Linked DNA regions of Rhinolophus ferrumequinum. The protein of the gene in region 1 interacts with the protein of each later gene in a pairwise test. Links are inferred from orthologs where the notes say so. Each region holds a gene or a part of one and is shown on either strand. Other genes may lie near its edges.

What was found.
Region 2: the proteins of MID2 (region 1) and IQCN interact in binary tests that used the Homo sapiens proteins (3 or more experiments, as listed by UniProt). The two-hybrid records come from large-scale screens. The link is inferred for Rhinolophus ferrumequinum from reciprocal best matches to the Homo sapiens genes MID2 and IQCN.
Region 3: the proteins of MID2 (region 1) and TRIM54 interact in binary tests that used the Homo sapiens proteins (3 or more experiments, as listed by UniProt). The two-hybrid records come from large-scale screens. The link is inferred for Rhinolophus ferrumequinum from reciprocal best matches to the Homo sapiens genes MID2 and TRIM54.

What each region holds. Positions count from the first base shown.
Region 1 is NC_046284.1:46,734,541-46,738,363, reverse strand, and holds the start of MID2 (probable E3 ubiquitin-protein ligase MID2), read left to right. Parts: upstream 1-1,436; 5' UTR 1,437-1,544; intron 1,545-1,609; exon of another isoform or gene 1,610-2,226; intron 2,227-2,745; exon of another isoform or gene 2,746-2,764; intron 2,765-3,823. UniProt on the Homo sapiens protein: E3 ubiquitin ligase that plays a role in microtubule stabilization. Mediates the 'Lys-48'-linked polyubiquitination of LRRK2 to drive its localization to microtubules and its proteasomal degradation in neurons.
Region 2 is NC_046301.1:51,087,613-51,091,435, reverse strand, and holds the start of IQCN (IQ domain-containing protein N), read left to right. Parts: upstream 1-818; coding exon 819-1,764; intron 1,765-1,818; coding exon 1,819-2,129; intron 2,130-2,519; coding exon 2,520-3,823. UniProt on the Homo sapiens protein: Essential for spermiogenesis and fertilization. May be required for manchette assembly in elongating spermatids.
Region 3 is NC_046296.1:53,402,484-53,406,083, forward strand, and holds the start of TRIM54 (tripartite motif-containing protein 54), read right to left. Parts: upstream 2,876-3,600; 5' UTR 2,523-2,875; coding exon 2,355-2,522; intron 1-2,354. UniProt on the Homo sapiens protein: May bind and stabilize microtubules during myotubes formation.

The DNA.
Region 1 (3,823 bases):
TGCTGAATCATATGGTAGTTCTGTTTTTAACTTTTTGAGGAACCTCTGTACTCCTGAGGTTTTTTTCCATATTGGTTGCACTGTTCCCACCAACAGTGTACAAGGGTTCCAATTTTTCCACATCCTTGCCAACACTTATTATTGTAATGGCCATTCTGACCGGTGTGAGGTGATATCTCATTGTGGTTTTGATTTGCATTTCCCTGATGATTGGTGATGTTGAGCATCCTTTAATATGCTTGTTGGCCATTTGTACGTCTTCTTTGGAGAAATGTCTATTCAAGTCCTTTGCCCATGTTTTAATCTGGCTATTTATTGTTTTGTTATTGGGTTGTAGGAGTTATTGATATATTCTGGATATTAACCTCTTATCAGATATATGGTTTGCAAATATTTTCATTCTTGCCTTTTTGTTCTGTTGATTCTATTGCTGTGCAGAAAATTTTAAGTTTGATGTAGTTGCCACCTGTCTATTTTTGCTAACCTTGCCTGTTCTTTTGGTATGACTGAACTCATTAACTTTTACTTCTCCTAGAGCCAGACTTTCATCAGGATAGTCTGGTTGTGACTTTTGCCTTCATTTCCATCTCGGTGCTCGCTAGTACATTGTTGAATGGGGTGATGCCTAATTACTATTGGTTCCCTGATGGGATACACCCAGAGCTACCATAATTTTTCTGAACTTATTCCCATGCACAGTAATTGGAGGCTTCTGTGAGACGGGGCTGTTTCCTCCCATTTTCTAGCTTCTTTCCCCTTCATCTCCCTTTTTACCCCATGTTAGGAGCAGAATCTCCTCCGGGCCTCCTCCTTCTCCCCTCTGGTGTCCTTGTGAGTGGGTCAGTGGTCTCTGAGCCAATGACAGGTCAGCTGCCAGGCTGACTCCAGACCAATGAAGTTTCTGGGCTCCCGATGAACCAATTAGCTTATTAGGGACATTGAATACCTGGATAGCTGGCATCTGTCCCATTGTTCTCTTAGTAGGGAACCTCTTGTTTTGTCCATCAAAGATTTGAGCGTGCAAATGAAACCTTTTTTTTTTTTTTAATTTTGGTGGCTTTATTCCATCCCCACAACTTCTGCCCAAGGCCAATAAAACACAGCCATTCTCCTTTCGTAAAAAGAAAGAGGGGTTGGGTTTCCTTCAATTGTCTGCCTTTTTCTGTCTCCTCCACTATTTTTGTTTTACTCTGTAGTTAACTTTGCATAGAGCAGCTTCATCCGGGGACCTGTGCGGTGGGCCTGGGCACTCTCTCATTGCCAGTTGCAAGGGTCTTTTCCGTGTTCCAACCTGGGGGTTTGTGGGACCAGGGGCTTGGCGGGTGGCAGAAGAGTTGCCTTCTGTATTTCACACACATTCTGCGCTCTCTCTCCCTCTCTCTCTTTCTCTCTCTCTCTCTCTCTCTCTCTCTCTCTCTCTCTCTCTCTCTCTCTCGCGCGCGCGCGCGCGCGCGCGCGCGCACACACACGACCGCTCAGCACCTCTCCGTGTGTCTTCCTTCAAGATGACAGGGCGCTGGAGAAAAGGCTGCTGGAATCAGCTGGTAGGTACAGTAGTAACCCGAACCCCACCCACCCGCTGCCTTTGCTTGGTCAGGTTTCTCCCGTCACTCCTGCCTGGGGAGAAAACATGTAAACGCGCCTCCAGAGGAGGGGCTGGGGTAGCTGGGAGCGGCGGGGGAGGCTGAAGGTGAGGCCGGGAAGGTGGCCGAGAGCCCCCGCTGCCGGGCCCTTGTCCGTGCTCCCTCTGGGCGTCAGCCCCAACCCTGTTGGCCCCCACCCCACCCCCTTTTCGAAGGGATTGCTTTTTTTTTCCCTCTGCGGCGGCGGAAATGACAGTGTGGAGCTGCCGTGGTGTCATGGTGCTGCCCCTGGACTGAGGGGGCGAATCTAAAACTCTTAAGTTTGGAGCGTCGCGACCGCCGTGCTGTCCCTTGCGGGGCGCGCGGGCGGGCGGATCCCGGCTGCTGCGCGGCGGCAGCAGCGAAGGCGAAGGCGGGCGGCGGCCTAGAGCGGCGGCAGCGGCAGCTCGGGGAGCTCGCGCCAGCGTCGGAGCCGGAGCCAGCTCGCGGCGGAGGGAGGCGAGCGCCCTGCGCCCTGGGGCGCGCTGAGGAGATGGCCGGCGCCCGGGAACGCTCTGGGTAAAACGCGCCCCCTCGCCGCGGCCCCCGGGGGCCGAGCACCCCGCCGGCGCAGGGCTCGGCCCCGGCTCCAGCCGCCTCTCAGGTGCGGCTGGGACCAGCGCGGGCCGAGGACTCCGGGGCTCTGCGGGGCAGGGTGACGGGCCCCGAGAGGCTCGAGGCGGCGGCGGGGGCCCCGTCCTGGCCCTGACTCCACGTTGCGCCGTGGAGCCCCGGGTTCCCGTCGCTGCTGCCCTCCTGGGACGGAGTTTTCACTCCGGGTTGCGGGCGGGGGCGGCCCGAGGCCTCTCTCACAGCCGGGCCGGGCCCAGCGCGGCCAGTGGAGCGGCTCCTTCCCACGAGCGCCTTCCCACGCTCCCGCGGCCGGCAGCCTCCTCGGCCCTGTTGGCGCCCCTTGGCCGGCCGTCTGCCCGGCGGTAGCTGGTGTCGCAGCCCGATATGCTGCGGACACCCTGCCGGCGGGGAGGCCCGGCGAAACTTAATCCCCTTTCTGCCAGGGGAGCGACCCTTGAGTCTCCGTCTGGGTGGTTCCTTATTTCTGGCCTAGCTCTGAAAGCAGCTCAGGAGGGAGAGGGGAAACTTACATAGGTCCATTGGATAGACTGCGACTGAATCACGGAGAGGTGGGTTTTTTCCATTCCTGGCTTGTCAGAATTAAGTAAATAACGGTGGAGTAGATTTTCAGAAACACTTTTGGTGATGATAAGGTTTAGGTTACTTAGCACTTCATGCGCAGCACATTATTTCTGGGAGACATTTCTCAGAGCAGGAAATTGGGATCCTGGGGTCGGTGGTTCTTCACTTTCTCTCTTCTACACTCTCCTACAGCCTTCACACTCACGCACCTTCCTACAACATCATACACCTACCTGCCCACCCAAATCTCCCCCCCCCACCCCGCCATCCCACAGGCCCTTTCCCCCATCAACCTGTGTACTCCCAGCCGCCCAGCAATGCAGCTTCTTGCTTCTCAACCAGTTTCCCTATTTCAGGATTTCTGAGTGTGGGGTCGGTGGGTAGTGATGGTTGTGTGTCTCCGAGGAGGAGCCCTTATAAAAGAATATATTGGAGACTATGTAAATAGACAAGTACTGTGTGTGGGTTGATTCCTCCGATTCTCAGGTTGGGCCATGAGGGCTACCTTTAACCCCACTCTGTTCCTTCTCAGTATCAGTTCTCTGGCCATGTTCCAATAGAAGGGAAAGGGTGAAGAGAGGAGAGTTCCTCCCCTACTCCTTGCTCTACCCCGAACCATTACATCCCCCCTTTCACCCCTCTCCACTCATGACTGCCTGAGGGGGAAACAGTCTTTGCTGTTTTATATATTCCTGTCCAATCAATTAACTTAATGCAGATATATAATGTGAATTAGATTTTTCCTGATTGTTCCTCACAACTTGATTTATGTGGTTGAAATAGAGGTCTAGGAGCTAAGAAGATCAGAGAGTTGTCCCAAATCTGATGTTACATTGGCCTGAGGACATTCCTATGACCTTTCTTTCATAGTTGATGCATTTGTGTAAAAGGCATAATATAGTGTACTGGGGTTTTGTGAGTCGTGACTTGGTCCTTTGAAGATAATAGGGTTCTGTAAACCCTCAGCACTACACATTTCAAAGAAAGTGCTTCATTTACCTTTTTATTGGGACAATAGATTGACTAGGTATAAGTAGGAACCCTAG
Region 2 (3,823 bases), on another chromosome or scaffold:
CTGTCTATCCATCTCTCCATCTATCCATCCATCCATCCGTCCACTCATCCCTCCTTCCCTCCCTCCTTCCATCCATCCACTCATCTATACATCCATGTGTCCATTTATTGATTGATCTGTTCATAAATTCATCAACTTCATTTATTCCTCCATTCTTCCACTCAACCGTTCATCCATCCCTCCAACTGATTCACCATTCATTCATCCACTGATTTATCCATTCAGTATTTAGTCATGTATCCACCTATCCATACAACTTCCAATCCACTCACCCACTCACTTGTTAGTCAAATTAGCCCCTCACCCAACACCTACCCATTCACAGCCTGGAGCCAAACCCTATGACTGAGACGAGGACACAGAAATGACTCAGACTTGGTTCCTGCCCTCTGGGAATTCATAGTCAATGAGAAGAGGCAAATAACAATCACACATACACACACACACACACACACACACACACACACACACATTCTCCAGACAGTGCAGTCAGTGCTGTCCTCACAACATATTCTAGACACAGAGCAAGTATGAAAAGCAGGTAAGTGCTGGGGCATTGAGTAGGTGAGAATGCGTACTACACACCAGAGTTGAAGTGGCCACAGGATGATGAAAAATACATGGATACCAAAAGCCACCTGAGGAGGTGGCCAGGCCAGGGTAGACAGGGCCTGCAAAGGTGCCAGGAACAAGAAGATCTAGGCCCCAGGGTGAGGGCTCGTCCCAGCCAGAACCCCTCTTCTCTGCACGACTCCACTCCCTGACCACCTCCCTGCCACCTCCCACAGGCAGATTTGATCCACCTAGGAACCGAGACAATGCAGCAAGCAACACAATTACAGTGGTCACCCAGCGGGCAGAACTCCTCCCAGGCCCAGCCTGTCCCCAATCTGCAAGACAAAGCAGGAACACTACGTCCGCATCCCCAGCATGAGCCACCTGCATCCAGGGAGACCCTCCTGCAACAGCCAGACAAGATGGTGCCTCACCACACCCCACGCCTCCGGGCTGTGGTGGAGAGCCAGGCCTTCAAGAATGTCCTGGTTGACGAGATGGACATAATTCTGTCTCGCGCAGCTACGCTCATCCAATCCAACTGGAAGGGCTACCGGCTCCGGCAGAAGCTCATCTCCCAGATGCGGGCAGCTAAGGCCATTCAGGAGGCCTGGCGACGCTTCAACACCAGGCGCCTCCTCCGGTTTGGCAAAGCGGTAGAGAAAAAAGTGAGTGCGGATGAGGGGGACATCCCTTACCACCCGCCCCAGCAAGTGCGGTTCCAGCATTCAGAAAAGGACAGGAGCCTTTCCGCCCCACCCATCATGGTGAGTAAGGAGACCCAGTTCCCTTCTGCTGACAGCCTGGCTGCTTACACCCACCAGCTGGCCCCGCAGCAGCCCCTGGGTGCTCCACAGGCTTCTTGTGCCCCTGGTGGCCCCAGCATCACTTTCCTGCCAGACCAGACTATCTCCAGTAGACTTCCGTGTCCAGTGAGTCCAGAGGCAAAGCGCTACCCATGCCTGCTGACAAGAACGGTCAGAAGTGCCAATCTTGTCCACAGAGAAGGGGACACGATAAAGACCAAGCAAGTGGCTGCCAGAGCCAACAAGGCAGGAGCCCCGGGCACACCACAATCAGAACGGTATGCCCAGGTTTTTCATGGACCCCACAAGACCCAGACTCAGGCCCTTGTGGAAGCAGAAGTTCTCCAAGCCCCACCCCAGCCAGGCCCAGCCCCTGTGATGCTCAAGAACCCCCTCCAGCCGTGCCCGGTGCCCCCCATTACAATGACCAAGAGTCCACCCCAGATGTATCCGGCAGCTGTATTGACCAAGACGCCACTTCAGTCATGCCTGGCATCCATGATGAATAGAGCCCCCACTCAGCCGTGCCCAGCACCCACAGCAACAATAGCCAAGACCCCACCCCGGGTGGACCCAGCAGCCCCAGTGGCCAAGACCACACTCCAGTCATGCCTGACAGCCATCTTGAACAAGATCCCAACCCAGCCATGTCCAGCTCCTGCGATAATGATAACAAAGACCCCACCCCAGCCGTGCCTGGCGGCTCCAGTGACAAAGACCCCAGCTCAGATGCGACCAACAGCCTCGATGACCAACACGGCACCCCAAGCACGACTGGCTGCCGTGATGGCCAAAATTCCACCCCAGATATGCCTGTTGACCTCGATTATCAAGTCCCCAACCCAGACAAGCCCAGAGCCCATGATGGCCAAGACCCCAGTGCAGACATGCCCAGTGCCCATGATGGCTAAGACCCCACCCCAGATGAGCCCAGAGCCCGTGATGGCAGAGACCCCACCCCAGACGTGCCCGGTGCCCATGATGGCCAAGACCCCAGTGCGGACGTGCCCAGGGCCCGTGATGGCCAAGATTCTACCACAGACATGCCCCGTGCCCATGATGGCTAAGACCCCACCCCAGATATGCCAGGTGCCCGTGATGGCAGAGACCCCAGTGCGGATGTGCCCAGGGCCCATGATGGCAGAGACCCCACCCCAGACGTGCCCGGTGCCCATGATGGCCAAGACCCCAGTGCGGACATGCCCAGGGCCTGTGATGGCCAAGATTCTACCACAGACACACCCAGGGCCTGTGATAGCCAAGACCCCACCCCAGATGCGCCTGGCGGCCACAATGGCCAAAACCCCACTACAGACATGTCCAGCAGCCACGATAGCCAAGACCCCATCTCAGACGCTCCCAGGGGCCTCGATGACCAAGACCCCTCCCCAGACGCGTCTGGCAGCCATGATCACCAAGACTCCAGCCCAATTACGCTCAATGGCCACAATCCTCAGGACGCTGTGCCTGCTCCCTCCCACCGCTGGCAATCTGAAAGCTTCACCTCCAGCAGTCATGGCAGCTGGGATTCCCAATACCTTGTCCCACACGTGTCTGAACAAACCAAAGGCCAAGGCTGTGGTGACTGCGAGACAGACCGTTAAAATCTCGTCCCATTCATACTTGACTGGGGGAAAGATGAAATACTGCCCCCCACCACATCTGGGGGCTGGATCTCCCAAGTCTCCAGCCAGGCCTCTTTGGAAACCCAACACAATCAAGGCCTTCTCCCAGAAACAGGTGAAAACGGCAACCAAGTCTAGTAGCAGTGTGGCCGTGGAAGTCCCCAGGGCAAAGCCCTGGGCAAAAGTGGCTGAGCACAGAAACAAGGTCTCATCGCAGGCACGCCTGAGGACAGATGTTGTGAGTGCCCAGACCCAGGTATATGTGCCTGGAGAAACAGCTGTGGTTTTGCCCCAGGCACAGCTGGGCACATCTGGGTCCAAGTCTTCGCCCCCGGGACAGCTGGCCACCTGTTCAACCACCACGTCAGCCCAGGGACATTTGCTTACAGAACTGACTGCGACCCTGCCCCAGGCATATCTGGGTACATGTCTGTCCAAGGCCCCACCCCAGGCACATCTACCTGCTCAGCTGACGACGGCCCCGTCCCTGGCATATCCTGGCACATGTCTGACCAAGACACAATCCCAAGCACATCTGGCCACAGGAGTCCAGTCTCAAGCATATCTCCTCACCGGGCTAACCAAGGCACAGTCCCAAGCCCAGCTGGTCACAGAGACAGCCAAGTGCCTCTACCCCGCCCACCAGGCTGTGGAGGTCAGCAGCAAGACCAAGTCCCAGCCACTCCGGACTGGGTTTAAGGCCTCCACGCAGCCCTACCTGCACACCGGCTCCCTTGGCACTTTGTCCCGAGCCAAGACAGAAGACAGACTGACTCAGCTCCCAGCCCACAGCTACATGCAGGGCAAAGCCACCCAGGGCCCATGCCAGGGCTCCTC
Region 3 (3,600 bases), on another chromosome or scaffold:
AGTAAGTGAACAAAGGCAGGTGTACGATAATGAGTCTAGTTTAAATGTATGTGTACACACACACACACACACACACACACACACATGCCTATCCACGGAAAATTTCTGGAAGGCTACCCAAGAAAGTTGGTAATGGCTAGCTCCATATGGAGAATGGAATTGAGTACGTGAGGTGAAGATTCACTTTTCATGATATAAACTCCTATACTGTTTGGAAAAAAGTGTGTGTGTGTGTGTGTGTGTGTGTGTGTGTAATATAATATACTGGTATCACGTGTATAAGTCCTGTTAACTTTCTAGGCGATGTTCTAAGAGTATTCTTGCTAAGTGGTTTGAAGATAGAGGAACCAAAAGTCCTATTCTTGTCCCCAAACTTAGAAAACAGACAATCTGATTATGTCTAGAGTTGTCAAAATGTGGAGGCAATGTGTGAAAAAACTAAATATGCTCATCTTTCAGAAGGAGATCAACTGAGATGTATATACATAAGTACAGCTAAAGAACTAGGTCAGCCTCCCACCAGGCCAGTCCAAATAAAGCAGCAAGGAAATGAGCTGTTCACTCTTCTCTCCTTGGAGGGCCCAGGGGTGCTCTGTACTTGAAAAGATCCGCAGAACCATCCCAAAGCCCTGGGACTCAGGCTGGCTCCCAAACATTCTGCACAGGGTTTGACCCAAAGCCTCGCCAGGTCTCTCAGGCTCCAAGCTAGTATTCCACAGCATCAAGGAACCAAAGTAAGTATGCCTGAGTACAGAGGGCTGGCTTGAACAAAGGAAGTCACTTAAACATCTTCTAGCCTCCTGTCCCTGGGTCCCTCTGCCCGACGACACTGTGTGCCTTTCACTTTAATATTCTGTTGTTTTATAAGACACATTACCTTCTTTTTTAAAACTTCTCTTTTCTTTCCCACATTTCAGGCTCTAATGAAAGGATGTTTCACTACAAATTCCTGAGATGTGATGACACAGTCTTTTTGCCATTCCGTCCCAGGCATCTCAGCCTGATGTTCAGAGAGTGTCTTAGGGAGAAACCAAGATGGTGGGCAAGGCATAGGCTCTCATATATATATGACTTGATACCCAGGGTGTGCAGCGTAACAGTCATTCTAGGCCCCCAGAGAGGGAAAATCACTGGCTCTGAGATATTCTGGAGCCAAATATTCTCGTAGTGGAATAGGAGTTGGGAATGGGTCTCGATGGGAAGATGGCAGGAAAGACTAGGGGCTGGGTACTTAGTAAGGATGGCAGACGGCAGGCAGACAAAAGGTGGGTCCCAGGCATGGCTGAGGGATGGCCGGACAATGAGCCCACTGCTTCTCCCCAAACATGCTGCCCCAAGAACTTAAAAGGAAGCATTTTCGTGGTTAAGTTAAAAATCACTTGTGTTCAACACATTTCCTCCTAATTTCTGATACAGATGAAGAAATGAATGTTCACGATGTTCCTTATAGCAGCCATGCCTACTGAGCCAGCCAGCTCTGATCTATTCAGAGTTTTTACTTTATTTGCAAGGGGGGTGTGTGTGTGTCTTTTCCCCTTACTCTCACTGAAGTTTGTCCCATTTTGTAGATTACTAGAACCTATACCTCTGGCACAGGGCAAACAAGAAAGCCCATTTATAAACCATTCTGGCTTATGCTGCTTTTCTTTATGAAACCAGTAGCTAAAATGATATCTATGAATTTGATTAGTTCTGCTTTGCCCCGTGACCACATGTCAACCCAAACTGGTTGCATTTCTGGGACATAAAATTTCTTCTCTGCCTTCTCTCTGCTTAAGTGACCTCAATCCTTTTTAACCCGCAGGCCCCTTTATTGACTAGTCTGGAGTGGGGGACAGGTGTGAAGTTTAGTTGGGGAGGATTCCTAGTCTCCTGCCCTCTAATTCTGCCCCCAAAAGATGGATGCGCTGAGCTTTGCCTTAAATACAGATAGTTTCACTGTCATAATGGACTTTTCTCACAGGGTTTATTTTTTAATGTTTCATTATCTCAATGCTATTTTCTCCAGATTTTCTATAATGTTCTCAAAATCTGAAACTCCGAACTGGAATGTACTCTAGCAAACTGTTACACAGCCTGGGGAGGATCACCTTTCTCCTAGTTTCTAGGGGTCTTCTTTCCTCTGTCCATGCGCAGGCTGTCCTCTCCAGCCTGCAGAGCAGCTGCTGACTCACGCTTACTTTGGGATCTGCTAAGCCCCCAGCTCATCTTCTGCCCTTCAGCCAGGACAGCCACCACCCAGCTCATACAGCACTCTGCCCATCACCTGGGAGCTCAGCTCTGACCTGATAAGAAGTCTCCCACAAGTCTGCAGTGCTTCACCTGGCCCTGGCCCTGGCCCTTCCCCGGCCTACCTGGAAGACGTCGTTGGCACACTTGCGGCACAGGTTGTGCTGGCAGGGCAGGATCACCACAGGTTTGGAGAACATCTCCAGGCAGATGGGGCAGATGAGCTGCTTCTCCAGGTTGTCCATGCTGTGTGCATCCCCGAGCAGCGGCTTGAAACCCACTGTGAAGTTCATCCCCTCAGCGATCGTGCCTACCCTGGCCTTGGCTCTGGTCCTGGCCTTCCCTCACTGCCTCAGAACCCTTCCTCTTTTACTTTACACAGTCTATGGATTCTTGTGTTCCCTTTTGTTGCTCACTCTTGAAATAGCTCTGCTATCTCTCCTGTCCCTTCCTCTGACAATTCGCCTTGTCCTTAGGCAGCCTCTTTCAGACACTTCTCGTCTCTCTCTTCTTTGCTCTATACCCCAGCCAGGCACATGCAGTTTTCTCGTTCCCTCACTCCCTGCGTGATTCTGTCCCTGGAAATTTCTCCCTTTGTTCCCCAAACGACTAGTGTTCACTCTATGGGCAGCACTGTTTATTCCTCACTCCCCAGGGAGGAGATTAATTTTAACGTGGGGGTGGGGAATAAGGGGCATCTGTGTGACATTCCAACTCCCAATTTAGCTCATGTAAGGCGAGCCACAGCTGTCACCGAGTGAGTGACCCTGACTCACTCAGGCATGGGTGGCTCTCTTGAGCAAGAGCAGGGGTGAGCTTGACTGCTCGTGGTGAAAGGTGGGCCAGCAAAGGCATTGGGCTCTCACTCGCTCTCTCACTCAGAAGGCTCCTGTGCCCTCCTGACCCCCATCATCTGGCTCGGGCCCTTCTTCCAGGGCAGTGGCACAAAGTCAAACGGCATGACACAGTCAATCAGCATACATGGCTCAGGGTCGAAGGACAGATCTTGCCAGACCGACAGACAGTCATTGAAAATGTCTGCCTCCAAGGATTAGCCAGTGGCCCTCTTCCTCTGAACCCCGTGATTCTGTACAGGAGCACTAGCAACTAGAGAGAGAGGCTCTGGTCCAACACTTCTGGTCCACTCTTGTTCTCACCCAGAACTTTCTTAGATCACCCAAGGAAAAGAAGCTCAGAATGCTAGAGCTGGCAGTTGTGCCAGGGACGACCTCCTGAGCATGCTCCTGAGAAAGTGTGGGACTCTGGTCCATAAACACATCACTGGAGCCACTCCAAGGACTTTAGATTTGTCAGGAAATTGAGAGAAGCTGAGCTGGGCAGAAAGGACCTGAATGCCAGGCACCTATTTTG